Lepisosteus oculatus: one gene and its partner. The protein of the gene in region 2 interacts with the protein of the main gene of each other region in a biochemical or structural test. Links are inferred from orthologs where the notes say so. Each region holds a gene or a part of one and is shown on either strand. Other genes may lie near its edges. The genes, in order: tgfb1b and dcn.

Region 1 (16,442 bases), on a different chromosome or scaffold from region 2:
CAGATGGACAGACGGGTGAACAGGCAGGCAGGAGGACAGACAGATGGACAGGCTGATGGACAGATGGGTGGACAGGCAGATGGAAGGATACATTGGCCGATGGACAGGCAGGCGGGCTGGAGGACAGACAGATGGACAGGCTGACCCGTGGGGGTGTCGGTCCAGCTCCGTCAGCACCGTCTGCTCACAGAACTCAAAGACCAGGTGGAGCCGCCTCTTCCTGCGGAAGACCTCAAGCAGATTGACCAGGTTCACGTGCTTCAGCTGCTGCAGGGGCAGACGGGGAGGAGCGCTTGAACACACACTTCGCCCAGGCACACAGCTCACAGAGCACAACAGCAAGAACATAAGCTGAAACAGATGCCCGCAAAACCAGCCATTTACATTCACCGTGACTTAACTGAGTAAACAGGAGCTCTTCACTTTTATTAGCGCACAGAGCTTCACATACGCAGCACAACTCAATACATTCTTCCACATTCAGTCAGGTCAGTCTGTGTCCAGTGTCTATGGCCAGGCTGTGGTCACTGAGCCTGTCCTCTCTGGACAGTCAGGTCAGTCCGTGTCCAGTTTCTATGGCCAGACTGTGGTCACTGAGCCTGTCCTCTCTGGACAGTCAGGTCAGTCTGTGTCCAGTGTCTATGGCCAGACTGTGGTCACTGAGGCTGTCCTCTCTGGACAGTCAGGTCAGTCTGTGTCCAGTGTCTATGGCCAGACTGTGGTCACTGAGGCTGTCCTCTCTGGACAGTCAGGTCTGTCTGTGTCCAGTTTCTAAGGCCAGGCAGCGGTCACTGGGCCTGTGTTTAATCAGGGTCTGTTTCACCTTGCTGTCTCTCACCCTGGTCAGATACTCGGCTGCTGTGTGTGATTGTGTTGACTGGGTGGGTGAAGCTGTGTGTGTGATTGTGTTGACTGGGTGGGTGAAGCTGTGTGTGATTGTGTTGACTGGGTGGGTGAAGCTGTGTGTGATTGTGTTGACTGGGTGGGTGAAGCTGTGTGTGATTGTGTTGACTGGGTGGGTGAAGCTGTGTGTGATTGTGTTGACTGGGTGGGTGAAGCTGTGTGTGATTGTGTTGATTTGGTGTGTGAAACTGTGTGTGTGATTGTGTTGATTTGGTGGGTGAAGCTGTGTGTGTGACTGTGTTGATTTGGTGGGTGAAGCTGTGTGTGATTGTGTTGATTGGGTGGGTGAAGCTGTGTGTGTGATTGTGTTGATTTGGTGGGTGAAGCTGTGTGCGCGTGTCTGGCCTGAGCAGTGTGGACCTTAGGCAGGCTGCTGTCGGTGTGGCCCAGGACAGTGAGCTCTTGCCTGGACCCAGCTCAGCAGGGCTCTCTCCCCTCTCCACCTCTCCCGTCACTCTGCCCTGCCTGGCTCATCCTTCTCGCCCCCTCCCTGTACCTTTAACATGCGGATTTCTCTCAGGGCAATTTTCCTGATAACAGGGTCATCCTCGGATTCCACAAACCGCTTCACGGCCACAATCTGGCCCGTGTCCCGGTTCCGGCACTTGAACACCACGCCGTACGAGCCCTCGCCGATCTTCGCCAGCTTTTCAAACTTCTCCATGGCAACTGCACGGAGGTATGAGACAGGTGTGGGTAAGGAGGCAGCTGCCAAACACAGAATGAAAAGACCACCATGTTTCTAATCTGCACTCATCTGCTTCTGAACTGGAACCCTGAAATATTGCTAATCTTTCAAGTTGCATCAGACTGCTCGACTGCACTGGGACTGTAACTCCTATTGTAACAGGACTGTTCCACTGTACTGGGACTGTAGCCCCTACTGTAACAGGACTGTTCCACTGTACTGGGACTGTAGCCCCTATTGTAACAGGACTGTTCCACTGTACTGGGACTGTAGCCCCTACTGTAACAGGACTGTTCCACTGTACTGGGACTGTAGCTCCTATTGTAACAGGACTGTTCCACTGTACTGGGACTGTAGCCCCTACTGTAACAGGACTGTTCTACTGTACTGGGACTGTAGCTCCTACTGTAACAGGACTGTTCTACTCTACTGGGACTGTAGCTCCTACTGTAACAGGACTGTTCTACTGTACTGGGACTGTAACTCCTATTGTAACAGGACTGTTCTACTGTGCTGGGGCTGTAGCTCCTATTGTAACAGGACTGTTCCACTGTACTGGGACTGTAGCCCCTACTGTAACAGGACTGTTCCACTGTACTGGGACTGTAGCCCCTATTGTAACAGGACTGTTCCACTGTACTGGGACTGTAGCTCCTATTGTAACAGGACTGTTCCACTGTACTGGGACTGTAGCCCCTACTGTAACAGGACTGTTCTACTGTACTGGGACTGTAGCTCCTATTGTAACAGGACTGTTCTACTGTACTGGGACTGTAACTCCTATTGTAACAGGACTGTTCTACTGTGCTGGGGCTGTAGCTCCTATTGTAACAGGACTGTTCCACTGTACTGGGACTGTAGCCCCTACTGTAACAGGACTGTTCCACTGTACTGGGACTGTAGCCCCTATTGTAACAGGACTGTTCTACTGTACTGGGACTGTAGCTCCTATTGTAACAGGACTGTTCCACTGTACTGGGACTGTAGCTCCTATTGTAACAGGACTGTTCCACTGTACTGGGACTGTAGCCCCTATTGTAACAGGACTGTTCTACTGTACTGGGACTGTAGCCCCTACTGTAACAGGATTGTTCTACTGTACTGGGACTGTAGCTCCTACTGTAACAGGACTGTTCTACTGTACTGGGACTGTAGCTCCTACTGTAACAGGACTGTTCCACTGTATATTACTTTAGTCCCCCATTGTAAAAGGTTAAAATGACATATCCTTACCTACACTGCAGTGGCCACTGGACATATCCTTACCTTGTAAGGTGATTATATATATTTTTTTCTGCGTCTACGTTGTCTTGAGATTAGAAAGCGTCTGGGCGACTCTTCATTCGTCCTCCTCGCTCCCCAGTGCAGATCAGTGCGCGCCTCTTACGGTGTGTGCCGGCTCCGCGTCCGTGTGTTTCTGTTCGTCTGTCTGCGTATCCATCTTCCCCTTAATGTACAGGGAGTGTACCCGTGATCTCGCCAGTCGCAGTATGCTCATATATCGGCTTTCAAAGGAAAGAACCTCCTCAGCCCTCTGGCTGCTCTATGAACGCCCGTCCTTCAGCTTTGGCGTGGGAGGCCGTGGCGCGCCCGCGTCGTCTTGCGGTCGTGCCGCCGATCCTGCGTGGGGTTGTTTTTTTGTTTTGTGCGTGAATGTATTTTCCCTTCCGCGAGTGCGAGTTCCGTGTTTGTGTTCTCGTGTCGGCTGTGTGTGTGTGTATGTGTGCGGTTGTCCTGTGAACCACGCAGCGCCTTGGTTACGGGCCGCTCTCATTCCGCCCGAGTGCTTATTTATTTATCGCGGCGCCTGGTCCGCACACTCCGCCGGCCGTCACCTGTTGAAGACAGCGGCGGCCCGAGCTCATTTCTCGGCTGGGCGCTCTCAACCGCGGCTGCCTACCCCTGCATTTCCACGCGAAGTTTTTTCACAACCCCCCCTCTCTCTCTGTCCTAACTCTTAAACCCCAGGCCCTCGGCGAAGCGTGTGAAAACAGTCTGCTCGTCTCTCTCCCTCCCCGTCAATTCAGGGGCAGCTTACGGGAAAATAAGTCAGCAACAGATGTAGCTGCAATTTGGGTTGTTGTAAGCAGTACCGATAGGCCAACTAGTTGCTGTAGCGACAGCACCAGGACCAGCAGCAGTATTAGTAGTATACACAACAGTGTTAGTACTAGTGACCGTAGTAACTGCAGCGATAGTTTTAACACCTGTAGCGGTGGTACTCACGGTAGCCGCAGCAGGAGCGGTTGTAGCAATAGTCGCTGTAGTAACAAATTGGCAAGAGTGTACACGTACACTACCTTTATTAAGCGCCTTCTGTCCGAAATAACTTAAGATTTTCAGGTTTTACACATGTATTTTTAGTTTTCATATTACTTCTGCATAACCTTTACAAGTCCACATTATCATAAACCTGTATCACCGACTCGGATACGGCGAAAGGAGTCGTCGCAGGGCTCGGAAAGTGGCACCAAGGCTCCGCCTGCCGGCAGTGTTAGACGATTGATTGTACCGATTGTAGTTAACGGCTTTCGACTTGTTACTGCACAGTTCTGCACCAACTGTTCGTTTTCCTTATCCTTGTAATGTAGTACACATCAGTACCGTTCCGCGCAGTGTGTCAGAACTGTACTGTTCCACTGCAATACTCTTTATGTGTGCTAGTTATAAGATGAATGGAGCAATGACACTTCGTACACACTCAGGGGAAACCAAGGCATAGGTCCAGGGCGATATTTCGAGCAGGTCCGTCAGTCTCCACGCACGCCTGCGTGGAGAACACGCACTGGGGTGGGTCATTAATCGATAAAGAGCCCACGGGTGTTACCTGCAGTAACTCATCGATGGGAACTTGATCCTCGTGGTACCATTTGGTTTTGGGCCAGCTCTCATTGATCGATTGTTTGGTCAGATCAGCTCACTTTATTTTACCTGTAATTACAGTACTTCCCGGACGGCGGTTCGACAGCGTCCCGACTACCTTAAAAAAAAACCCGAGCCCGGGACCACGTGACATCAAGGACCAATGGCAGAGCCCGGTGTCGGGTTGCTAAGGAAGTGGCGGGGACTCGCCTCTCTAGCCCTGGAGACCGCCGCTTGAATGTAAACAAGGAAAGTTAATTTGATTAATGAAGTAAAACAAACCTGGAAAGCACCGGGAGGATTGAAGGTAAAATTTCGGTGTCTTCGGGATTAAGTCGTGAGGTGTCTCACCACTCTATAAAGCTGTTTTTTTATATTACATGAAATACAATCTCGAGAGCGTCTTTACCGCTTGGAACAGCACCTGCATTGTTTACTATCTGGTAACTGGACAGACTGGTCTAGGTTGTGCCAGATAACGGAACGGTGTGATGTTACAGTAGAATAAAATGTTATTTCACACCCTTTTCCAGGTTTCTGGAGTTATTATTTTACAAGGATCAAACACCTGATTTTTTTCTGCAAGTAACTTGACGCGCCTGCCAGTAGGAAACAGCTCGTATTTCTATCACAGTGCATAGTGTGTGATTTATTAACAATGGGTTCGTAACAGCATGCTATAAAATGCGTTAAAACGTGAGTTAAGAGCATCCTACCACAAGTGCCTTCCCCTTTTCACTCCCAACTTAATTTCAGAGTGATTAAAATTAAATTGAATCATTATTTTCCAGTTTGTAACAACAGAGTAGCCTGAAAGAAGCAATTGTATCATTAATAGATTGAAGAATGCAGCTTTGAGGATGCATCTGCACTGAATCTGAGCAGTGTGATAAGAACATAAGACAGATTAGACATAAGAAGATCAGCAATAATATTATAAAGATTACATTACAAAAGAGGAGGCCATCTAGCCCATTTGATGGTTATTAATTGATCCAAGGAGCTTATCCAATCGTTTTAGTAAAGACGTCTGTGAAATGGTTTCAACAACAAGGCTGGGTAGCTTGTTTTGTTCCCTACTCTTTGGCTAAAGAAGCGTTTGTTCTATGCTCTTAAAGCGTTTCAGCATAGTTTACATACAGTACAGTGTGTGTCCCCTTGGTCATGTTCCATGGTTTAATCTGCTGGTATCCACTGGTCCCCCTGCGTGATGGTAATGTTTTTCCAGACATACAGACCAGCACTTCAGTGGGCTCAATATGAGAGCAAGTTAATTAAGTGAGTCTGTGAATTGATCATCCAATGAACGTTCTTCAAAGGTGAAGGAACTGACTCGGGTGTTTAAAATCCTCCGGGCCATTGAGAACATCAGCCCATTGGATGTCTTCAGAATCAACAGAGCAAAACAAGCGAACAAGTGGAAACGAAGGGGAAGCACATTCATCTTGTTTGTCACCTAACAATTATATGACCTTTATTTATCACCATTGTTCCCTATGCATGTAATAGAAATCCATTGGAATGTTTCACAAGGTTATGGGTGCTCCTGTTCTAAAATAACCCTGGCCAGTGCCCACTGCAGTGTAGTCCTCTCTCACATTGCAGTATGGTGCTCTTTGCCTCTGTGATCTGATTTCTTCCTCAGCGCAGCAGCCTTTAGGTGAGGTATGATTTCCCAGGTCAGATCGTTAGCACTGACAGCTGGTCTCGGTGCCGGAACAGTTCAGGGACCAGCCAGCATTGTTGTAAGATGAGGGTGTCCGTAAACCTGTGACGAGATGGCAGAATAGATGGCTATTGCTACAGGATGATGCTGATAATGAGAACAATCTACCTTACCTGTGAAGTGTATTTCGTATACAGTATCATTCACTTTTTTTGCTTTACTTGTATACAGGCTTAAAGTTTTGACAGTACCTGTATTTCATTTATCTTTCCAGTGTCAGTGTGAAATAGTGTCCTGTTGTGTCTTGTGTCTGCCAGTGTGTAACGGTGTTCTGTTGTATCTTCTGTCTGCCAGTGTGTAACGGTGTTCTGTTGTGTCTTGTGTCTGCCAGTGTGTAAGGGTGTTTCTCTCTCAGCAGGATGGCGGAGCTGCACATTATAGGCCAGATTGTGGGGGCCAGTGGCTTCCCTCAGAACAGCCTCTTCTGCAAGTGGGGTGTCCACACAGGTATTCACCAGCCATGATCAGGCCTACCTTCACTCAGTTCTAAACCTTCAATGATTTGATGTCCTCCCTTATCTCAGTGAGGACACAGTGCACGTGCGTTACAGTGTTGTGTGTGTTGCAGGAGGGGCATGGCGCCTGCTGTCAGGGCTGAGGGAAGGGCAGACACAGGTGGACTCTCCCCAGATTGGTGAAGTGGCCTATTGGAGCCATCCCATAGACCTACACTTTGCCACCAAGGGACTGCAAGGTACTTCCTCCTCCTTCTCTTTCCCTTTTCCCTGTCTCAGTTGCTTACCTCTCTTCTCTTTCTGTCCTCTCTCCTGTCTTTCCCCTTTTCTTCCTGTTTCTCATTCTGTTCCTCTCCTTTCTCTCTCTGTTTCCCCTTTCTTCCTGTCCTCTCAGTCTCTGTGATTTGGAAAAAAACAACATAAATGTTGCCCCACAACTGTAATCATACCTTACAGCACATTGTCTGTTCATCTGTCGAGTTAACTCATTTTAATGCACATCTATGTAAACCTTCTTCCTTTGGTTAATGGTTTCTGCGCTGTATTTAACAGTGAACTGAAATGGCCCAGAGTTTGATTTATGAATGCATAAAATTGCCATTTGTATTGAGCACACTTTTTTTTAAGATCAATTTCACCTTACAGTATGTTGTCTCCAGCTCAGAGCTGATGTTTCTGTACTGATGTTTTCAGTGTGTCCACACACTTTGCTGTGGGCCTCCCTTTTACTGCAAGAGGACCGCATCTTTTCACATGTGCTGTGCAGTGACGTCAAGCATTCTGAACTGCAGTTTCAGCAGAGTTAACCCTTGCTCTTTGTTTCTTGGATGGATGAAGACAAGCTAACGTTGACTCCCACTGTCAAGGGTTATACTGTAGTTCCTATGAAAAACGAGGGGTTTGCAGAATTCAGTTATGGGGAAGAAATATCCATCTGGGTGAATGGAAGACTTGCACTGACCTGGATTTTTTGGGGTTTGCTTTTTGATTATTTTTTTTTACTCCATCTGGAAAGAACAGTTTGACTTGAGCTTTGTCTCTCCAGGGTGGCCCAAGCTGCACCTGCAGGTGTGGGACCAGGACTCGTTTGGCCGCTGCCAGATGGCTGGCTATGGGTTCTGCCACGTGCCCTCCAGCCCTGGGCACCACCGACTGCGTTGCGGCACCTGGCGGCCCCTGGGGCCCTGGCAGGACAGGCTGGTGCAGACCTTCGTGGGAGGGGGGCCACAGCTGCGCTCCCCTGACCTCATCTACACTGGGGCAGACCGCTACAGACTGCACACGGTGGCTTCGGGCACCGTGGACCTGGAGCTGAGCATCGTCTTGAGACACTTCGACCGCTACGGAGTAGAGAGCTGAGAGAGGAGGAGAGGCAGAAGGGAAGCGCAGGGGAAGGTTTGAGAGAGGGTTTGGTGTGTGGGGCGAGAGGGAGAACGAGAGAGAGAATGGGAGGGGATGTGAGGACTTGAGGAGGCCAGCAGGCTGCGAGCTGTCTGCAGTGGAAAACTCAGGACGGCTCTCAGGTCTGTCCAGTTCTGGACCTCAGCAGGGAAAGAGGGGAAACAGTTGCTGTGTGTGGACAGGTATCATGCTCTTTGTAAGTATGGCTCTACCCCTGCTCTGCCACAAGGGGGCAGGCTGAGTCTTGGAATGGCATCTCTCATACAAGTTCCCATTAACACGTTGACAGTCACACGCAATGAAACTAATCCCATTCTTTGTTAAAATGAATTTTTGTATTTGAACCCAGCGTGACTTTTGTATATTTTTATATATGTATTGTGTTTTAGAGTTGGAAACCATTTTACTTTTTTAAAACGCATATATTAAAAGTTTGGTTTTCCATAGTTTCTCCGATGTTTAATTGTGGGTCAGTAAATGAAACTATGAGGTCTTGTGCCTCTTGTTTGAGGGCTCTTGTGCTGCTGCTTCTTACCTTTATCTTCTTCTTTGCCATCTTTCCTTTCATCTTTTTCCACTTACTATATATCATGATTGTCATCTTTTCTCTTTACTAACCTGTTTTTATTGTTTTGAATGATTGTATTCCTCATAATTGTCTTAATCTTTCTGCATGGTTCTTCTGCGTAGGGCAAGAGAGATGTGTTCTCTTTCAGTATCTCGGTGTGGGAGGCTTGTTTGTGCACAAGTGACAGTGTTTTTGTTTGAGTGCGAGAGTGTGTACTATAATGTGCGACTGAGTGGATTTGTGTTTCACAGTGTGAGTTTGTAACTCATTGTGTTCTTGTATCCCCCTGTTTCAGTGTATCTTGTCTCCTGTTGTTCTGTGCCGTGTGGGGTAGCCCTGTGGAAAAAGGAAGGAAAGATGTGTTTGAGGTCTTTGAGAGGACATGTGCAGGGGAAGATAGTGCAATAGGAATTATCTATGTGCAGTAGACTAAGAACCACACTAATAAACTTCCCCATAGTATTTCCTGGCTGTTGGACTTATTCAAGTCACGGTCAATCGCTACTGCGCAGAAATGTGTTATCTGATCACTTTGTTTTAGTTAGTTCACTTTGCCTGTCCGTCTGTCAGTGTGTCAGTCAGCCGGTCAGTGTGTCACTCAGTTAGTGAGTCAGTGGGTTATTCAGCTGTCTTGGTAGCTACTCAGACTTCCAAGTCTTTCTGTATGAAGAGAGAGCAACACTCTCACAGTCGGAGAAGAAACAGATGTTCTAGCGTTGCATCCGTTTACCCTCATTTCCTGGGCGGAGAGTTTCTGGCTCTTTTAGAGCTGCAACAGGAACGAAAAAAATTAAATAGAGGGAGGGAGGGTATGGAACAGCCCTCACTAATCATTTTGTCACTAGCAAGCTCTGACAAGCAGAAGTAGTTGAGGAGAGAGAGAGAGCGTGAACAGAAAAAGAAAAGTGGCTGAAAGAGAAAGGTTCCGAGCTCTTAACAGAGAGCCAGAGAGCTGATAAACGGGGGGGAAAATCAGTTAAAGAGACGAAAAACAGACAAATCGGGACACAGAGTGAGAAAGAAAGACTACGTTCGGATCAAAACTTTTAATAGAGGAGCTCCGAATGAACACTTACTACAGCTAGCACTACAACTCCTGCTGAGACACACAGACTGGTTTGAGCTGCTTGATTTTCATACTCTGTTCTTTTCAAATGTTTGTGCTTTAGCGTCTTAAGGTTTATTTTCAAGAAATTCCCTTTAAATATTTGTTTCACCTTTTTTGCCTTGAAACGGCTCCTCTGTTTGTTTGTTGAGTTTTATTTTTGGAAAGAGCACGGCTCTTCGGCTTGGTTGGAAGGAAGGGAGTAGTTTCTTTTGCCTTCTTCCAGTTGCTTTAATATTTCTAATAGGGTCCAGACAAGGAAAGGTGGGGGAGGTGGTACGTTGGGTTGTAATTGAGAGGTGCTCTGGGCTCTGGCTGCTGTGTCAGAGGGGTGCCTTGCTGTTACTGCTGCTTTTTTCCAGGCACATTATTCGGCTTCCTCTGGGCTGCCTTCTCCTACGCTCTGTAACACCTCATCCCCTCTGGGCTCCTCTCACACTCTCTCTGCGCATACTACAGGGAAGAACTGTTATTTTGGAAAAAAAAACAGACTTTATTTTTAAGCCTCTGTGTTTTGTTTTGAAGCAGAATTGAAACTGCTGATGGTGAAATGAGGAGTACCAGTTTCCTTTAGATACATTACAAATTTTTAGCTTATTGAGCTTTTATATATATATATAAATGTATTTATAGTCTTTTTTAATTTATTAATCCCAATTCCCCCCCCACTGTTTTAATTCAGTTGCTGGTAGCGGATTATTTATTGTCTCAGAACGTGTTCTGTATTTATTTGTTTATTTGAAGAGAACAGCTCTTCTGTGATAGTGTGCTGCGTGTGTTGGCTCTCTTGCTCTGTCCTTGTACCTTTTGGTGAGAAGGCTGGTCAGCTTTAATATCTGCTACTGCTGTCTGAAGCGGTCTGATCCGGAGTGTCACCGGCAAGGCAAGCTAACAGATCTGTCTCAGGAAGTCCGGGTCATCTGAGAGTACTTCTGTTTTCTTCTTTACCGCTTCAACTTGATCGTGGAGAGGAGGAGGGGAGTCACAGCGAGAAGGAAGGAAGTAGATAAAGAGAGACTCTAAAACGAACGAAGAAAGAATTAGCAGTGGTCGGGGTAAAAAACGAAAAAGATGAAGGGACAGAGAGTCAACAAGCGTGAGGGACAGAGAGCTTGAAGCCAAGAATACAGAGAGTAAAGATTGGGGACGAAGAGACGAAAGCAGAGAAGGGAGACCCCTAGTTTCCAGGCGGGGAGACCAGAGCTGAGCCCCCTCTCCATTGCAGCCCAGCTGTGGAGAGAGACGGCTTTTCATAAAGGAGGCCACAGAGGTAAGACGACCGTCTCCAGTTGTCACAGGCAGAGAGGCTGATGCTGAGGACACCTGTAGCCCTAAAATCCTGCATTGTCACCTGTGCTGAGACAGGGAGACTTGTGGCAACGTGCTGTCAGGCTTGTCAAAGAGGGGTAGTCTCCTCCCTTGCCTTGAGACACGGGAGTTCTCTTATGTGAGGCAGTAGCACTGGACGCTTTTAGAGGGAAGTCCAACCACTACACAGAGCCTGAAGATAACTCAACAAGACTTCATCTGTTTAATTCCTCCCCCATCTCAACGTGCTGGACAACCGAGGGCTGTGTAACAGGACCGCCAGAGCACAACAGGACATCAATCAAGCAGTTTGTAGCCGGCTAGACTGACACTCAAACATTTAATTAATACACAGGTTACATATACCAGAGCAGGATTTCCATAAACCTGCGTTGTGCTTGAGTAAAAGACAGCGAGGACACTGTCGGTACGTTGGGGCGCTTGTTCTGGTCACCATGAGATCGGACCGCTTGTTGTTCCTGGGCCTGTGGTTGCTAGGCAGCCTGAGCCAGGTCTTCGCCCTGTCGACCTGCAAGCCGCTGGACCTAGAGCTGGCGAAGCGCAAGCGCATCGAGGCGATCCGGGGGCAGATCCTGAGCAAGCTGCGCATGTCTCGCGAGCCCAAGGAGGAGGAGCCCCCCCTGGAGCCCGAGCCGGAGGTGCTGTCGGTGTACAACAGCACCAAGGAGCTGAGTGAGGAGCAGGCCCGCCAGGCTGAGACCAGCCCGGCGGCCCAGCACGGGGAGCAGGAGGAGTATTTCGGCAAGGAGGTGCACAAGTTCATCATGAAGAACAGTGAGTACCACACGAGCGAGCACCTCGGGACACACACACGCACTGACGCCGGGACACTCGCATCTTTACTCCCTTCTCTTTTAAATCTTTATATCTCACTTGTTCTTGGTGTCTTGGTTTGTGGTCGTGTTGCTTTTCAAATCGGTACCTACTAATTAGCTGACAGGTTTCTCCCTACCATGACACTGTGCTCTTGTGCTTAGATGACATCCCAGTGGTAATTGTAAATTGGCTCTTTACTATAAGAGTATCTCGGGCAGACAGTCCCTAACCTCGAGTCCTCCAGGAATGAGAATGAAAGCTTGGTCAACTGGCACCAGTATCGATAACCATTCTTCTCTTTGGGTACAACAGCTGACTGGAATAAAGTCTTTGGGTTCTGAGGCGCAGCCGTACTCTGGTGAGAGTCTGTTAGAAGGAGGAATAGTGCTGGTTTCAGGTGAGACAGCAGAGTTTCGAAGTCATAACCTCAGGTCATTGGAGATGCATGCCTTAACTCTGGCCTGTAACTGTGGCCCTGGGCACCTTGCGTCCTCTCCCTGGCCTGTATCTGGGATGCAGGACATGTGCCACCTTCTCTCCTCCCCGTCTGTAAGACACCATTTGTCATACACTTTTGCCCCGGCCCATATCTGGAACGCTGAGCAGGGATCATTTTTAGTTTTGTGGTTTATTTCGTTTTTTGCGATTTGGATGAGTTCCTCCTTGAGCTTTTTCTGCGGTGTTCATGCTAGTGTGTGCTGATGTAGGGCACAGACCTCATGCTGTCTCAGTCCTGGTTTGTGAAGGGAAAGGCCCTCTCGTTTCTCTAGTCATGCCTCCAGGCTGTTGTACACAATTGTTGGGCAGCAACAGACACTAATATGTCAACGGTCTTTGTTGGCAAGCAGTACCGCACTGTTCCGCTAGTATCCATGGCGTTTTTATGGCTGGGATGTTTGAGTTGGCTCATTATAGTGTTGAGTCTCCAGGTGTGAGGTGAGCGTCTGTCTCTCTGTGGCTGTCTACCTGTTTGAGTGTCTTCCTGTGTGTGTGTGACACTTGTCCGCACAAGAGCCTCCTGACAAGCATGGTGGGACGATGTCCCCCCAATGTCAGTGGTTACGTTTTACGAACCAAGTGGCTTCTTCTTCTAAACCTACAAGCACCAAAACATGTTCGTTTCAGGTCTGCTTTCACCCTGTGTGGAGTTTCGTTTGAATAGAGTGTCGATTTCTTAGTAGGACTAGAAGGAGAGTCAAGTGGAAGTCCCCACGAAGACAGGAACACAGCGTATATCTGTGCATGTGACAGTGTGTGGGCATCCATTGATATCAGTGTGTGTGTCTGTTTTGTACATCGTTAGGCCCATGTGATTTAGGTTTACTGACACACAGCAGCTGTAAAGCAGGGAGGAAATTAACAGTAGACTTGTTCCACACACCCACTCTTACACCTCCCCTCCCCCATCCCCACCTCTCTGTCTGTCTGTCCTTCTCTCCCTTCCCCCGTTTCACTAACAGAATCCTGTTCTTTGTGTCATTCAGACAGCCTTCTGTATTCAGAGACTGTGGAGAGAGAGGAGAGGAACTCTCTGGACTGAAACTTAATAGCAAAAAAAGAAAAAAGAAACACTGAAAGTGGAGTAAAAGAGGGTCAGATGTAAAGAGATGTGTGTGTGTGAGGGAGAGATGCCCCCCTCTCTTCCTCCCACTTTCCCTCATTCTCAGGGCCAGAGTGCCGGGGGGTTTTCCTGTAACTGGATCTCTGTACTCACCACAGAGCAACAGCCACAGCCCCTCTCACTCCCTCTCGCCTCTACCTGCATGTCAGTGTGTCAGTCAGACAGGCAGCATGTCAGTAAGCCAGTGTGTCAGACAGACAGCGTGGAGGTCAGTATCTCAGTCAGCCAGTGTGTCAGACAGGCAGCATGTCAGTCAGCCAGTGTGTCAGACAGGCAGGATGTCAGTCAGCCAGTGTGTCAGATAGACAGCGTGGAGGTCAGTGTCTCAGTCAGCCAGTGTGTCAGTCACACAGCGTGGAGGTCAGTATCTCAGTCAGCCAGTGTGTCAGACAGACAGTGTGGAGGTCAGTATCTCAGTCAGCCAGTGTGTCAGACAGACAGTGTGGAGGTCAGTATCTCAGTCAGCCAGTGTGTCAGACAGACAGTGTGGAGGTCAGTATCTCAGTCAGCCAGTGTGTCAGTCAGACATCGTGGAGGTCAGTGTCTCAGTCAGCCAGTGTGTCAGTCACACAGTGTGGAGGTCAGTATCTCAGTCAGCCAGTGTGTCAGACAGACAGCGTGGAGGTCAGTATCTCAGTCAGCCAGTGTGTCAATCAGTCAGTGTATCGGGAAGGAAGAAGGCAGTGAGGCAGGCACTTCTATTTCTGGAGCGGAGCTGGGCTCAGTGACTCCAGATAGTTATATATAGCGCTCTGGAGGAAGTCAGGTCCACTATCACAGCTTCACACATCTCTGTGTGCAAACCTCCCAGGCTTCCTACAGGGGAAAGAGAGATGAGGGGATCTATGGTCCAGGGTTTGTGTCTTCAGGTTTTACAATTCAACATTGTCAAAGTCAAAGACAAATGCACTCATGGCTCAAAACTGAAAAAGACTCAACCCTGTGTGATAATGATATATATCTGTGTGTAGCGCATATCCCTTTCATACCCTATAACCCAGGGACATGTGCTTCTCTTTGGGGATCTAAATGGTAGGACAAGTACTGAGTGTGAGTAAGTACATAGGGAAACAGCCATGTATGTGGATGGTACCACATATCCACCACAATGCAGAGTAGTAACTATGACTGTGTGTTGAATGGGCATGAGAACTGTCTTGGATCTGTACAATATTCATAGATCAGAAGGGTCTCTTCAGGTTGGTTCACCTATTGTTCAGTTGTTGGGCCAAGTGTAGTTGTTTGTGCCATCACCGACATGGACTCCTCTTTTATCAGTGCATTCACTGCCAGACCAAAATATCCCTTTTGGGCTACAGTCGAAACTCTGTTTTCCTGAGCAGAACCAAGGAACATACAATCACACACTACAGGCTGGAACACAGGTACAGAGCTCCAGACAACCTAGGAGTACACAAACACACCTTGTAAACCATACTTTTTGGATGGCACAGAAGACCAGCAAACAGCAACCAGTTCTACAGGAATGGCAAATCCTATTTACCACAGACAACACCTGCACGACATGATAGGTGAATTAATGTTTAACATTAATGAAATATTCCAAAGAGCATCAATTAAGGCACTCATTAAGAATTCAGTCCAAAGTTAAAAGAAAACCTGTTTGACAATGATAAAAAGGAAAATATCAAATCAGAAACCTCATCATTCACACAGCTCCGATTTATGCCTCTGGTACTGTTTTTAAATATTACAAACAAACTCTGAAAGTCACAAAATGAAAACACATCTACATAACCCTCACTCTGGAGATTCAGTAAATCAAAATCAGGTCTGGGAAATGTGGAATAGTTTAAGCACAACAGAGCCTCAGGAAACATGGCAAAATACAGAATGGAAATATTTGGGAAAAACTGCTTTGGAAACCTTTATGAAAAAAAATCCACACAGAGGTTTCCAATCTTGACATATTGTCATTCAGGAAAAACTAAAAATGCTTCAGCCGTGAATGAAAAACAACCAAACTTTGCAGAGCAGTCACCTTGCAAGCGCTCACAGAGCTCCAAACACCCAGAAACCCTTCACTCTCAATAGCATCAGAACCGAGAAGCTCAAACACAGCAGGGTTGAGCTGCAAGAGGCCCTGCTTAAGATACTGAACCTCAGTGCCGAATTTCCTATTAGGCCTACGAAATGTCTAGGGCCTACGAAGGAGAGAAACACTAGTGACTAACGAAAAACGGGTTGAAACTACATGCTTGCGATCGACTCTAGGTGCTCCAAATCAATAACCCTACGGTATCTAGCGGCTGTTCTAGATACTAGAAGTATCGAAGGGATGGTCGCTCGACTCAATCACACAGTTTAGCATGAGAATAGTTGAAAGTGCATCATGTCAATCGACGTCATTCAGAGGGGACGTTCACCCCTCTTTTTGCACGTTTCGGAGTGAAAGTGCCAAGGGCCTACGAACCCCAAAATCCCATCTGTTGAGCTTGGCACTGTGCACAGCTATGCCCCTGACGTCTGGGACCTTTTATCTCTTTATCAAATTTACAAAGAGGAGATAAAACCATCCCCATTCACTTCTAAGGCATGTGGAAACGGAGGAATGTGGTGAAGGTGTTTTCGAGTATTATCAATACCGAAAAGACTGGCCTTCAGTACTGAGCACAGGATCCTGAGACACTGGGAGTCAGATTGACTTCCTTCAAAAACACTACATTACTGGCCACATTTAGCCCTTACACACCCTAATTAATAAATACATCTTTAAAAAAAATAAGGGCAAGGTACTTTGCTGAATTCAAATAAAGCATTTGATTCTGTTATGTACAAATGTTTATATTACAAAATTCTCCAGAGCTGTTTTAGGGAGTAACGTACATGGCGTTGTTGATCTGTTGAAAGAGCAAGTTCTTTAAAAGTGGGTGGGGCATGAGTCTGGGCTGTAGTCAGAGTCCATGGCTGTCTAATGTCTACTGTACTGTATGTCATTGCAGTGACA
Region 2 (16,205 bases):
ACAGGACTTCAGTTTTACATCTCATCCAAAAGAGAGCGCCTGTTTACAGTATCCTACATCACTATACTGGGGTATTAGGACCCACATGGACCACAGGGTGAGCACCTCCTGCTGGCCCCACTAACACTCTTCCAGCAGCAACCTTAGTTTTCCCAGGAGGTCTCCCATCCAGGTACTGACCAGGCTCACACCTGCTTAACTTCACTGGGTTGCCAGTTGTGAGTTGCAGGGTGATATGGCATCCTATCATCAACCCACTATCAACCCAGACTCAACTCATACAGTAGATAACTGGAAAGCTGGGGTCAACTCAGTTTGTTTCAAATAAAATCTTTCATTGGTTGATGCACTTGAGACTGCATTTATGCAATGAATCAGAAACAGAATTACCTTTATTTGCCAAATATATTTCATGTACAAGGAATTTAATCTGGTGTACTTGGGTGCTGCAAAAACATTCTACATATACTGTACCATACTCACATAAGATAATAGAAATCATTGAGACAGTGTACATACTGTATACTGTAACTAGAAAGAAATCCCTAGGAAAAACGGAGTTCAAATACTGGGGAGTTCTGATTTTAATAGACCAGTAGCATCTTCCTGAGGGAAGTTAAGGAAATAGGTGGTAACCTGGGTGGGAGATTTCATCAGCAATCTTTCCTACCCACTTCTTTGCTCTGGAAGTGTACAGTGGAGGTCAGATGACAGCCAATGATTTTTTCTGCAGAGTGACCTACCTGATGATTCTAGAAGTTATGAAATATAGTGAAGGCCCATGTTAAGAGCAGCACCCACTGACCTGTTAACATGTGAAGTAAATCAATGTATTTGCAATGATGAATGGAATATAAAAGTAAATATTTTCCTTATTTTTAGGGAACACAGCTGGCTATGTAGAGTGGTTTTAAGCATTCCAATACACCTCTTTCACAATACCACAAATTACATATTTGGTACTTTTGAATGTAGTCATTATGGTACTCTGTATCACACAGTGATTTGTGTGGCTTGTGTTTAGTAAGGATGGCAATTTGACACAATACAGCCAATCTAGACACTGCATGTTTATTTTTTTCCATATAACAGCTGAGTATGTGAGACTTCCAACCATGAAACCAAATAAAGAGGAATTGCTTAAAGCATATAAAAGTTTTGACTATCATGTGAATATACCCTAAAGAATGTAAGAATTGGTAAAACTGATACTATTTCCACAGTTATTTGGGTTTTACTAAATTGATGTCTTTCATCTAAATTCAGCATGGAATCTCTTCACTTAATGCTCAGGGAACTTTTTTTCCAATAAGCTCTGAAAAATCTGTTTCCTGAATATACAACACTTAATGTATACAAATAAAATTTTCCATAACATAAGTTAAAAATCTTAAAAATCATAAGGATGGCTTTAAAAAGCTATTGTTGCATTTCTCTGGACATTTATTTGAACAACAAAAGTTGAAAATAATATCACCACTTAGCAAAACAAAATAAAAGAACTCTTAAACTGGTACATACTTAAGCTATGTTTCTGAAAAAAAGACATTTTGAATAGTCCTTAAATATCTGAAATACTAAACCAATATCTGTGTTATTGACAGGGCCCTGTCAATAACACAATAACACAGCTCCCTTGACTGCCCTCAGCAACCATCCACACCAGGTACTTTCCCTTGCATCACACTCATTCAAGGCCTCTCAGGACAGTTCCGGATCACCCAGATGGCATCTTGTACCTCCAGCAACCTTATTTACTGTATATCTTGCAGTAAATGCCCAGTTTCTCTCTACATTGGAAAAACAGGAAGGAGACTTGGAGACCGCTTCAGAGAACACGTCAGGGCTGTTAAGATTAAAGATCTCTCCAAGCCCACTGTTTCTCATTTTACCTCTGACGGCCACGACCACTCTAATCTCTCCGTCTGTTTTCTCAAAGATGGTTTTCCGAACTCATACATCAGAAAGACTACCGAAACCAAACTTATCCTGCAGCTAGGATCACACCTTCCCCCTTCTCTTAACGACAGACTACTATTCTACTAAATTTTCTCCATTCACTGGAAGTTTCATTTCACACCTCTCGACACCTATTCTGACTTCACACATCTTGATTGGCCTCTCTTTCTGTCCCCTGCTCCCGTCTCTAACCCCTCCTCCCTCCTAGCCTTTGTTCTCCCACTACATTACCTTTGCCTACTGCCTTGTCTCTCTCACACCTGAAGAAGGCTCCACGGCCGAAACGTTGTGTTTTCTCTCTTCTTTTTTTCAGCATGGAATAAATTTATTACTTGTTCCTTTGCAGCCTACGCATGCTGACGCAGCTACCCACCTGAACTACTAAACCAATATCTACTGAAGATATGAAATGGATATTGACTTCTAAAGTTTTATCATCTTCATCTGTAAATGTTGTGTTTGTAGTGGCATAACATGAACAATAGGATAAGAAAAAATCCTGTTGTGGATTAGCGTCATAGCATTTACTGTACTGGGATTTATTTTATTAATAATACTAAGAATAGATTGGTATAATGTGTAATGTGTAACTGTAAGAGTAACGCTAATAGACCCCCCTGCCCTCATTTTCGTGAGGAATGAGCTAGGAGGGTGCAGCAACTGTGAAGATGGGTTTCCATGAGGGGTACAGAAGAGACAAAGGAAAGTATATACTGTACTGTATATGAGTACAGAAGTATCTGACCTTTTCCCAAATTTCTGTAAAGAACTTAATTTCTACAAAATGTAAAACAAAATCAATATATATGTAATATGGATATTTCATTTGCCTACAAAATAATAGGAAGCATGTATTTGTTATGGTTAATTGATTTTTCTGTTTTATTTCCAATTTGTTTCTTTTCATATTTGTGTAGCACCTTTGATACCACAGGTTTACACATAGGAGAGGAGCAACTGCTTCTACCACTGAAACACAGCACCCATCTGGATGACACTCCACAGTTATTATGGGTCAAACAACACATCATGCAGAGAAATAAGAAATTAACTAAGAATTAATTAAGAACTTCAGGAAGGCTAGATTGTACAAGATCAGAGTAAAATGTAACCAGGACAATTGTGTTAAAACCCCTCTCATATCATCTGCAGGAAAATGTTTACCACCTCCAGTTACAGTACTAATATGTTCCAAGTATTATAAGTATTAGTTATGCAAGACTATAACCTGTAATATAAGGAAAATATGGACTGTAGTCTATGAGATGTCTGGTTCTTAGACTCAAAGATATTTACCATCGTTGCTGACGTGACATTGTAAATGTGAATTCAGACCCAACTGGTGTTACTCACAATCTGTGACATTCAACTTTAACTGGAAAAAGAATAAGTCAGAACTGAAAGGAAATCCAAGTTGGTTTACTGTAATCTAGATATTTGTACACAAATGAAACATACATACTATACCACTGAAATCCCCATGTCTAAACTCTAAATTTAAGTCATTATTACTCTTTCAGGACTCTCACAGCATTTAGTAAAAAAGCCACTCGCAGTTCTCAATTCTAAATGTTCTAACTTATATCTTCCACTTGTGTCCTCTTATTGCTCTGGTGGTTCATTGTTCAAGAATGCACCACATGGTTGTCAATGTCAAAACACTTTACTTTTATTACACTAATTAAAATTCTGTAGTTTCAAAACTCAAATCCAAATCAGCAACAATGTGGGTCTTCCTTTAGACAAAATACGAGTTCTATAAGCATTATAAAGATTTCATGACTTTAAGTAATTTACTATTAAACATTACAACTGTTTGGTTTTGAAGAATGTTGGACTTTCATGTGAAGATACAATATGGGTCACTGTTGAATGTGGATGTGCTGTTAATCAGCACTTTACAGATTCTTCATACAAATACTTTAAATGCTAGTCCTTCTTGTTGACATAGCTCACAAATAAGATTATCCAATGCCTTCTATTGCTGTGTTCATTTTCTTCAAAGATTTATTGTGAAATGGTTTTTAATTTTTGTAGGAAAGACTTACAAAAGTATTGGGGAGCATGGATTTCAACATTGACTGCTGTTTAACATCTTAAACATTGACTGTGATGTGTTGGGATGGTGTTTAGTGAAAGAATGAGTATAGGTTTCTCTAATGTAGCTCATGGCTCTTTTCCAATTTTCTTCAGAAGTTGTGTATTTTGGAAAGCTTTTTATAGATTTTTTTGTTTAAATCCAGTAACGTCAGATGTCTTAACAGAGACATGTCTCTACTAGCCTCGAAAAAATTCATTTTAGTTATTCTTTCTTTGCCTACAAGGCAACTCAGATTTACAATACTAAATTTTATATAATAGAAGGAGACATATCATTTTAATAATAAAGCAGACTGAGGTAAAAGATGCATTTATTTTTACAACATTCTAGGATGGTTTTATAAACTGTCAAAATATTTTTTTTCTAATAAATGAAGCAGATTAAAAATGAGATTGATAATAAGAATTGTCTTTCTTGCAAAATGGGCAAAGCACAAACAGACAAAATTGTATTATTTAAAAGATTCATTTTCAAATTATTTTCAATGGGAGAAAATACTAAGTGCTCTGCTATAACAAGTCTGCTCTTGTAATGAATTTCCTAATTAAAGACAACATTGTTTATATATTTAGCTATCCTTTAGGGGGGTCTACCAAGAATTGTATTTAACCAATGGAAAAAACTCATATTCTTCCAAACTTCCTCTTAATTTCTTTCCCGTGCCTTTTTTATTATGGTGACCACCAGCATTGTAACCCTCAGAGGTAAAATGTCTTGTTCAAATCAATGCAGTTTAATCCATCCAGATTCCTTTCAGAGTAACAATATGGAAAAATAAACATAATGCACTGTATAATGTCATCAAGTCCATAACTTCTACAATGTACAGTGACATAAACACAGAAGTTGACACAGCTTTTGTGGGCCTTAAGAAAACAGGACTCAATGCATGTTAAACTTGTTTATAGTTGCTTTTGGAAGAACATAGCACTCTGTACACATTTAAAACAGATGTGAGCAAACTACAGAATTGATAATAATACATAATGTATATCAGGTTCGATTTATGTTCTTTGAGGCTTTTTTTCATAAATTGCATTATCATCAACAAAGTTAATTTTTACTATGTAATACTATGTCAATTAAATATCTTTTAAAAATGATCTTCTGTTTTGTCAGGGACTTGACGAAATTAGTAAGACCCATATACTGTGTGTGTGGGCATGCACTGAAATGTGTTCTTATGCATAGTAGTACTGAAGAGGATTTGAAAAGTCACCTCCACTCTGTGAGGTTCTAGATAAAGTCCTTGGTGTCAGAAGTCAACAAGATTATAGAAGCTCCAGCATTCAACAACACAGGTAATCATATTACCACTTTAATGACAAGGGTGGACACTCAATAACTTAAGTATTTATGCTTTCAATTCCTTACATTCACCCGTTGCACACCCAATTCATCCCAGCAGAGGCCACTTTAACAACACTCTCCTGTCTGTCCTCTTAGGACCCTCACTCAGTACAGCTGTGTGTGCCTGTATGCATATCTTTTAACAATATGAAGACAGAAAGACATGCTGGCAACAATAATAATTTAAACTGGTACATGATGTTACATAAAGAGAGAAACCCTTGTTCTAGAAATATAAACCTAAGAGGTATCCTCCTCAGGGGAAGCACAAAAATCCTGCACAAGAAACCCTCACCCCCTACAAGAAAATGGAAGACCTGCCAATGCTCATTAACCGAACCACAGTGCATATACAAGTACAATTCATTCCTCCATACAAAATAACTCCTTTCCTAACTGAATCTTCCAATTCAGTGTTGCAGGGGAGCTGGAACCTATCCCAGCAAGCAGCAGGCACAAGGCAGGGTACACCCTGGACTGGCCAGTTCACTGGAGGGCACACTCACACCAATTTTCCCAGAAGCCTCTTAACCTACCCATATGTCTTAGGATGGTGGGCGGAAACCCACATGAACATGGGGAGAACATACATATCCTGCACAGATAGCACCACAGGAATTAAACCCAGGGCCCCAGTGCTGTGAAGCAGCAACACGAGTCACTGCACCACCAAGCCACCCAAAATAAAGCATTGATAATGAGAAATACACTTGCTGTGGATTTTGAATAAAGTAAATCCAAAATATCTGAAGATTTTTGAACAAGGGTTTTTAACATTCTACATGTAATTGGCACATTCACAATCAGGAAGATGAGGTATAAACATTAATATTTTTTTTATGTGGATCAGTATTAAAAAAATATTTGAAACATTAAAAATTAAAAATGTATTTGAAACAACAAAATTGTTCAACTGAAACTTAGACCTTTCCTTTGTATATAGATTAGGTTTTAGGATTTAGGTCCAGAATGTGGATATGCTGCTAAAATCTAGACTTTTTTATTCCAACAATTTGAGAGCCTGAAGCTAGAAGTACCTACAGTACATGTAATTATTTCATGCTTCTGATATGTAATAAGGCTATTAGACAACAACAGTACTTTAGAGTACTCACTTATATTCTCAGTTAACCTACTTTTCCTTGTTTTGTAAGATTATTTTAAGTGCATTTAAGAAGCAAAGTTCTAGTTAGTCCTGTTCCAATTTTTCCATTCTGTAAGTCCCACAGATGCAATTACCATTACTGGATTTTATTATAGATTGCCTTTGATAGTTTTTGGTGCCTGATATTATATTATATTTTATGTTTTCTAGAAATTAAAAAAAATTGAAAGGCTGATATATTTTTAAGTTCAGATAATGAAGTGACATTTGGGAATGTGCTGTGATGTTTCAGTCGCAAGTAACGCAAATCACAAATGGGTATAATAGAATTACTGTATTATTATAATTAAAGTAATTTCTTTTCCATTATCTGAATTAGTTTATTATCAACTTCTTATATGAAGTATAAGAACTAGATTGAATCTATAAATTAAGTAGAACTTGTAAAAATGTTTTAGTCCTGTTGAAATAGTAAGACTTTTAAATGAAATCTGGATCCTTTTACTATATTAATGTTAATTGCTCCTCTTAATCTAAACTTTATAGAATAAAAAAAAAACAATTATTGTAGGAAGTTAGCCAGGAGAAGACATTCAAATGAAATGCATCAGTATCTAAGGTTATATAATTACAATCTGTGAAAAGCTTTCCATACCAAAACCTGTCTTCTCTACTGAAGAAAGATGTAGCTGCTCTTATTCAATAGTTTAAACCAAAATAAACACAAAATAAAGTTAAGGGGGGAGCAGTCTTTTGTAAATGCTCACTGGGAGAAAAAAAAATGCTTATGGAGTCTGTTCTGAAGCACAGCAGCCTGGGATCTGCACAAGAATTAATTCCCCCAGCAAGGAGGGAAAGAAAACGTTGATAAAGTGTTCTTGGCTTTAACGTAGAAGACGTATCATTACCATATGATGTAGTGTGGGTGTCAGCCTGTGTTGTGTTCATTGACTGAGACTGGCCTCTTTTTTTCTTGTGGTTCCAATTGCTTTGGAAAAGAAGCACAGAGGGAGTTATCTACCAATTGTCATCCATTGAAAAAGGACTAACGGGACCCTCCCTTTCTCTGCCCCCACCTCCTCTTCCAGCTCCACACACCTGCATTGCTTTGGCTGAACACTTTTTTAGTGCAATTACGCCTCGGCCTTGAGAGCTGCACTTCAAAAACCCCCACTGGATTTGGGAAAAAAACACCCCCAAAAAACAAAAGAATACAGGTATGGTTTCTTGCAGTCAAAAAACATGTTAGGAAGGAGCAGGACTCACCATGCATAGGGTTTTTGGAATGCTGGTAAAACTGTAACTTCTTGCACAGAAAGAGAAGGAGAGCTTGCTCTGTTCCTTGTACAGGGAAAAAAGAGGTAGGATGAGATTTAAATAATGGAGCTGCTGCTTTGTTCTAATGTTCTGTGTTAGATTTGTGAAATGTTAATTGTGTGCAGATTTTAAAAACATTTTATTCAAGCACAACCACAGCATTGCAACAAAAGTAAATTATAAAGTAAGAAAATGGTTTATAGGTTTTTGAAAAGAGTGTTATAGATTTTTTTGTGCTTTTTTGTGAAAGGTTGTAGTTAAAGAAAGGAGAATACTTGGCTGTTTCGTGTTCCGAAGTTTGTTACAAATGCTAATCATAATCTCATGAGCTAGTATCATATTCCAGTGATCACCTGGTATGTAGAACCCAAGAGGTGGGGTGTTTCCCCTGGAACTGCTTAGGTTGTCAAAAGTTCAGCAAAATGAATTATCTCACTTCAGAGTTATCTGTAATATGTTTTTCTAGACGTGCTTTACTTGTGTTAACAAATGTGAGGCTTGAATATGCTGTTTTTATTATTTATTTCTGGCTTACAGTTATGTGAATAGACAAAAGGAAGCCAAATAGATATAGATATTGTATAAATCAATATTTGAATAAGTGGATGGTTTGTATTTTTTTATATAAAAGTTATTTTCTTAGTATTGGCTACTAGTATTGTATTGATGGAAAGCCTTTTACAGTTTTAATTGTTGTTTTTTTTCATGTATGCTTTTGGGATCTTTAAACTTGCTTTTTTAAATAATCCTTTTTTTGTCATTGTTAGAAATGCTGAATTAGGTGTGTCTCATTCATCCAATTATGCATCCTTTTTCTTGTCTCAATGTGAATAGTTTCCTTTCCCTTTTTTTACAGCTTCACTCCCCTAAATTGTTATGCCCCCAAGCAACCAAAAATAAAAGGAGCAGCTGCTTTGAAGTAAATGAAAAATACCTGGCACTGGTGCCACATTTAATCCTTTAATAAGACAGCTTCCTTTTATTAAAGTGTGCCAGGAAGATAATTTCCTTTTTGAACACAATAATAGTTTTCTCCAATAAGAGATGCATGCAGCACAACATTGGAATTAAGCAAAGCTCCCTCCATATGTGATCTGGCAGCACATGAGTTACATCTGGAAGGTGACTGTTTTGTGGAAACAAACTGCATAGCTCTGACCATTAATTAATCTGTACTTTAGCCAGAAAAAACAGCAGAAAAATGTAAGATGTCTTGCTGAAATAACAACAATTGATCAAACTGAGTGCATTGTCATAAGGGCTTATTTTATAATAAGGTCAATGAGCACAGAAAACAAAATAACTTGAGTTTTGTCTGCATCTACGTATTATTGACTCCAACAGCCTTAGCTTAAGAGTCAAGTACAAGTCTATTTAATTCACCTTTGTAAAATCATAGCCCTGTAGTTTTTAATGTTCAATTTAATACAGAGTTGGCTACTACATACTGTTTTTCATAATGCAATGAAAAGCCTTAATATCAATGTAGAACTCTTAATAGACCTTAAATAAGCTTAAATTCAAACATCTGTTAGTCATTGCTGTTCAGTCTTCACTCATTCTTAACACAAAAAGGTTATTTTAAAACTAATAGTAATATACAGTACATTTTATGTTTTGTGATATGCTGATCAGTTGTACTGAGGCAATGCCCCTGTTCCAACAACTGACCACCCCATCTGAAATCTTATTTCCAATGTCCATTTAACAGCCTTTCTCGCTGACTGACTGGGGGAATATCACATTGCACATTCATAGAAACCATAGCTCCACCATGAATTATAAGCCAAGGGCTATGTGTTAAAAAGATTACAGAGATACTATATCATGAAAACAGTTACTTTTTTTGTTTAAATGTTTTATTTCACTCTGTATTACACTTCAGATATTGTTAGAAATATGTTCATACCAAACACAGCAGTTTTAATTCCAACAGATGTTTATTTTCTCTACAGAATGTTTTCCCAGTGGGTGCTGTTGCAACACTCCAACATTCCAATACATTTACATTTGTCATTAAATTATGCTTACTGCATTTCCTGAGTGCTGAGAGTGTGGCTGTGTGATCTGTTTTCATTTTAACTCTTAAGCATACCTTTGGCTTGTTGCCATTTCTTTTCCATGGGGATTTTACTTGGCAGAATGCAGAAAATGTACGCAACATATGGATACACCCAAGCTGACGTACGTGTAGTATGGATACAGAGTGTGGAGCTCAATTACACTGCACAAGTAGTGAATGAACAAGTAGAGGTTATTGTCAGGCTGTGGGAACAAAATGTTGTGCGTATATATCACCTTTTTCAGCTGCCTTGCACTTTTGCTTTTTTTTTTTCATTTTCAGCAAGGGATTACTGCCATATGGAGACTGCCATATCATAAATTACAGCATATCTCCAATACTGGTTGGATGTTTCTCCAGTGAGAAATACAGGAGAAATATATAATGCCATTGATTTTGCTAGATGTCCATGTGGATGTCTGTGGAGATATAGCATCACACATCCAGCAGCAGTATACCTCTATACAGATAAAGAGTTACAAGTAGCAATGAACTGCTTACATGTATGCTAAATGGAGCTGAGATCCAGGGATCATGGTGGTAAACAGTTGGAAGGGTCCTTCTCATGTTCCAAGAACCACTTTGCAATCCCAACTCTGATGTTGAGGTTGAACAACTAGAATAGGCCATCACACACCATGTGGTGTTTCTTATGCAGCTGAAGTACACCACAACATTTACAAATCAATAGAGGAGCAGTTCCATAAACAGCACAACATACCTCAGACCAAGACATTTACACCAGCAGCCTGAAGGGGAAATAAAATGTAAATGTCTCCTCCCCACCTTGCTTTTTTCGTTAGTACTGAGCTTTTTGTGGGCTTTGTATGTTATCAAAGAGAAGGAGTTTTTGGATTGCCACAGCACTTTGAACATCCCATGATGTAAGATCCTAGAATATAGTTGTTATTGACTCTGGCATCTTTTGGATACAAGTGCCTATTTCTTCTTGCAGGGTTTGAAATCAGACATCTCTCCCTTGCAGACTGAATTATAACACAAGAAGAGTTCCATAGCAAAACATTCTGCCCTGATGTGTTTAGTTGAGGTCCAAGGAACTCACCCAGCTATTCCTTGCAAGACGTTCTGATAGCACTATTAAATAGGGTAAGAAAACTAGATTCCCACAATCTTCTAATGAAAAGAAGCATGTACTGCTTTGAACAGATTCAGGGGCAACTATGATCTTCTTCAAATTTGGCAACCAAAACTGGACGTAGTGTTCTAAAAAAAGTTCCTGTATAATTTTAAAATAACTAATATTATGTTGAATTCTGCACTTTTTACATGTGTTTTGTCATTTTGGTGGCCTTGTATATTAAATTATAGAAAGTACATTGTCTGTATGAAGACAGCATGGGTGCACAAAACACCTAATCCTTTTTTAAAAGCAGCTCACTCAATCTGACTAAAACCCATATATACTGTATATTATGTAATACATATTTCTATAACTTGTAAGTCATGATCTCCACTTGCTAAAATAAACACTACTTGCTAGATGTCTGTCCTGTCATGGATTATATGGAAATCTATTTTAAAAATTCTGCTACTAAAGTTTTTTTCAACTTTTTTATGTGCTGTTCTGTCCACTTTGTTTGCAAATTTGTCAGCTGGATAAACCCTGGATGTTACACCAGTCTGGAACAAGACACACACAGAAATGGATATACTTACAGTACAACACATAGTTTGAGTAGGTAGCTGTGTCAGTATTCGTAGGCTGCTGCAAAGGAACAAGTTAAGGTTTATTCTATGCTGAAAAGTGAAGAAAAGAAACACAATGTTTCGTCTGTGGAGCCTTCTTCAGGTGTCACACTTGTTCCTACTCACAATAGGGCCAATTAACCTACCAGTATGGCTGTGGACTTTGAGAGAAAGCCAGAGCACCCAGAGGAAATCCAAGCAAACACAGCAAGAACATAAAAACATCACATAGATAGCACCTCAGGTGCTTAATTGAGCCCAGGGCCCCAGTGTTGTGAGACAACAATGCTAACCAATGTTCCATCATCCCACCCTGTTAGAATCTACATAATGTATGTAAATCAGAAAATGCAGTGGCTTAAAAATAGATCTCCATGTTACTCTACTAATTACCTCATTTCAGTTAGATTTATTTCACTATATTTTAAATCTTAAATATCTATTGTATTAATTTTCCAATTGCTAATTACAATTACAGTGTTTTGATTCAAATGGGAGTCCCTACCTGTATATGTGTTTCATTGATGAAAATAGGACAAACCTAGAAGCCATACCAGAGCTAACATTACAGTTCCTGGAATTATGTGCATTGCCCCCATTAATTATGGATCTAAAAGTTTAATGTGGGTGTTACCTCCCCATTCTAGGGCATGGGAATTAAAATGCATTTTAGACATGGGCTAGATATGTGCAATGTCCTACCAAATGGTCCCAGGATCCAGCTAATAACAATCTCATAAAGCTCACACACAACTTGCTCTTGTCTAAAGTGTTGCTGAAGGTTCGTTGGAAGGTTCAACTGTGGTTCAATGTCATGCCGAGAGATTCTGTGGCAGCTTTGTGCTCAACATGCTCAGTGCAGAATGTCACATTAAACTTATAATTGTCAACCTTATTGTCCAAATGGAAGAACCACTGTTCTTATGGGATCTGAACTGAGGTTCCACCTTTGAAAGCACTCATTATTAAGCCATTATTGAGATGTATTTGATTAGAATATGATTGATACAGTGGTGGTTTATGTATTGTATTGAATATATATATACTGTATATATTTAGATATACAGTATACATTTTCTAGATATTGAGTGTGGCATGGCTTGTTCAGAAGTTAAATAATGCAGAGCCAAAATTGAGCCTTATGGAAAACCAGAACTGAAAGTTCTTTGCATAGTGACTTGAACTTAAAAACAGTGATTATGAATCATAGCCAGCTGCTATATCACCCTGCAACTCACAACTGGCAACCCACTGAAGCTAAGCAGCTGTGAGCCTGGCTAGTAACTGGATGGGAGACCTCATGGAAAAGCTAAGATTGCTGCTGGAAGAAGTGTTAGTTGGAGTAGGAAGCACTCATTCTGCAGTCAGTTTGGGTACTGTAAAAATACTGAAAGGGTATTTTTTCTGAAATACTGGAAAAACACCATCCTTCCCAGATGAGACGTAAAACTGAAGTCCTGACTCTCCATGGTCATTAAAAATCCCAGGGCGTTTCTCAAAAAAGAACAGGAGTGTTAACCACGGTGTCCTGGCCAAATTTCCCCCTGGCCTATACCAATAATGGGCTCCTAATAATCCCCATCTATGAATTGGCTTCATCACTTCTCTTCCCCACTGGTAGCCAAGGCAAACAAATCCAAAGGGAGTCCGTAGGGAAGTCCAGGGTGAGCAAAAGTCCATAGCCAGGTAATCCTTCCATAACAGACGAGACAAAAGTTAAAAGTTAGAGCGGGATCTGGTGAAGGGTCGGGGAAATAAAAGGGTAACGGGGCCAGGCTCTCCAAACCCCGGACCAAGATGGTCAGGACGCCATTTTGAAGCCTATGCCATTAGCCACTCCTGGACTCGCTGGTAGGGAAGCTTCCGGGCGTCCATCTTCCAAAGCTAAGCCCAGATTGTTAGGAGCATCTGGCTTTTATAGGAAGGGGCTGGAACAGGAGGCAGGTGCAAAGAATGAACAGAAACAATAAAGAGCCGGAGAGCCCTTAAGAGGAGGGACTTACGATCGTGACATATATAAGTGTAAGGAATTATTATAGCCAGTATTGTCATGGGATAAATATTATAAATGGATTAAACTGCAAAGTTTCAAGGAGGCCCTTCCTCCCACCATATCATAGGCAGAACACAGTCGCTGTCTGGAAACCTGTTTCAGGTTGGGTACACAAGGCTTCTACTTGGTAACTGCAGCTCCTGTCTTGGCAAAATGTATCTTGCTGTTTAGGAAGGAGACTCTCAATAATGTTGCACTTTCTAAAGACGTGCATATTTCTATGACTTTAAACACTGTGTAAAGAAATGGGACGATAGTTAACAGGGACACCCACAGGTTTACTGATCTTAGGAATTGCTATGTCAAGGCTTTGTGTTATTCTTCAGACACTTTCCCAGTACTGTGCACTTCTGATATTAGCTTTGCAAGCCCTGCACTTTCTCATTATCCTGGTTCTTGAGAAACTTAGGAGGGACCTCAACACTTATTTTTCAATACATTTGCTATTCTTTCTTTATCACTTTCTATAAAGCCATTGCTCTCCTTTACATTATTTACTGATATAGCACTTACATGTCCTTTTAAATGATAATTTACATTGCACCGTATTCAGTTTGTCTGGGTCCGGTTCCCTTTTAAAGACATTTTAAAGTGATTAAATCCTAATGTTGTTCTTAATTGAGTCACTATATCAAGTAGATCACCACTTTCTTCTCACTTCAAGTTGTTAAAAATTGGTATCAGATAAATAGAGAATTTATCTTGCGCCTCTAGCATCATTCTTTCTGAAATATAAATATCAATTCTCTAGTGATTTCTTACATATCAGACCCCTTTGTACGATTGAAAAGAAGAAAGGTCTGTGTTGATGTTTTTGTATTTACAAAACACGCCTGTATATTTGCAGATATTTGAATAAGTGCATTGGCCATTAATCTGATATCCATTCAGTGAAACACCAAAGGCACATACTGTACAGCAACATCCACCCTTTTTTCTCACCTATACAAACTTTAAATAAAAATTACACTAGGGAGAATGTTTGGTTTGCAAATACTGGATTATCAAGTCCTTATTAGGCAAAATATATAGAAATAAATAAATAGAATAAAATCAAATAAAAATCATCAATAAAATCATTGGTGGTAATAGCAATTTGGAAAAAAAACAATAGTAATATTATGTAGAATTTTACTTAACTATAAATTCTAAAAATTCTAAACTTTATCTTACACTTTTACATAAAAAATAATTACTTATAGTATAATCAGCTTTATAGCCCAAATTATTTTAACTCATTGAAACCTTATATACAGTACACTTTAAAGTTTTTCTTTTACAGTATATTATATATAAACACAGATATGATGCATACTGTGGTATTTGAAATAATGCCAGACTACCTGAATAAGTAGTTTTGATCTAATATCTTAAGTATATGGTATTTGGATTTGTACAACAGTACATATTTTATTAATTATTTATTTTGATCTTTAAGATGAATAAGACAGGTCAGTGTCTTCCTCTTATTTGAAACCCTTTTAGGTTCAACTAGTATGTCTTGAAAACACAGAATTACATCCTGTCCATATGTTTCTATTGTTTCTATCACCCTTTTCTATTGTGGCCATGAAATCAAATGTGTTACTAGTTCTGTCAGTAACAACATGCTTCTGCCAACTTATGCTTGTCCCGGAAGTGATGTTCCAGTGAATCTTGTGTTTTCAGAGTTGATGTAATCAAAAAGATACTCTTCTTTTCTGGTGAAAGTTTACTTTAATTTGGAGTTAATTCTAATTATTTCACATAACGTCAGAAGGCACATAAATCCTAAAATATTTTCTTCTAATCTGGTGATTTTTTACCACTAACACAAAATGTAACATGACAGGAAACAGTAACTTTTACACTTACTTAAAAAGATTTTCAAGGTTTATAAAAACTGATGAAGCTATGCTGTAACCATATAAAAGTTTTCACTCTAAAGCTTGTTTTAATTTAATCACATTATAAATATTTGAAATTATGTTGGATAGTTTTCTGTTGCAATCATTTGAGATAAATATATTTTCACCTTTGACATCTTTTCCATAATGATACAATGGAATGTTTAACATTTTAATCTATTGAGTTGATTTTTTCAAATTAATTTCTAACTTGCTAATTGTAAATTACAAGGTTGGTAACTGGTATTAACTTTTGAGTAGAATCTAGAGGCCTTTATCAAACAATTAATGGGCTATGTATTTAAAATTGGTGGAAGGGTTAATGTATTGAATACTTGTACAACTGCACGTTTTCTGGTAAGAAAATATCTGTTCATTGCATGTCACGTTAGTCATGAATAAAATACAGGTAAAATTCCTTTTTAACTCTCAAGTCATGATTTCTTAGTGAGTAGACTATGTTGACCTTCAGACCAGACTGCTGGCAGCCTTCTATTTTAGATATGCCCTGGTGAGAGCTGTTAATCTTCTATATACTGTAGTACAGATCAGACCAGGATTTGAAATTTTAAAAATTCTTCTGGAATTGTTTCCATTTATGATCATTAGACTTCAGAAATCAGGTTTACAAAGGACTCAAGGTGCTTAATCAGACAATTTGAATT

The links.
Region 1: the proteins of dcn (region 2) and tgfb1b form a complex in vitro, tested with the Homo sapiens proteins (3 studies listed by BioGRID). The link is inferred for Lepisosteus oculatus from reciprocal best matches to the Homo sapiens genes DCN and TGFB1.

The regions. Positions count from the first base shown.
Region 1 is NC_090698.1:6,671,423-6,687,864, forward strand, and holds the start of tgfb1b (transforming growth factor beta-1 proprotein), read left to right. Parts: upstream 1-8,575; 5' UTR 8,576-11,471; coding exon 11,472-11,811; intron 11,812-16,442. Other genes in the region: cyclin-dependent kinase-like 1, read right to left, coding at 146-267, 1,400-1,567; b9d2 (B9 domain-containing protein 2), read left to right, coding at 6,539-6,626, 6,748-6,873, 7,680-7,993. UniProt on the Homo sapiens protein: Transforming growth factor beta-1 proprotein: Precursor of the Latency-associated peptide (LAP) and Transforming growth factor beta-1 (TGF-beta-1) chains, which constitute the regulatory and active subunit of TGF-beta-1, respectively.
Region 2 is NC_090702.1:16,389,411-16,405,615, forward strand, and holds the start of dcn (decorin), read left to right. Parts: upstream 1-7,479; 5' UTR 7,480-7,732; intron 7,733-7,771; exon of another isoform or gene 7,772-7,876; intron 7,877-16,205. UniProt on the Homo sapiens protein: May affect the rate of fibrils formation.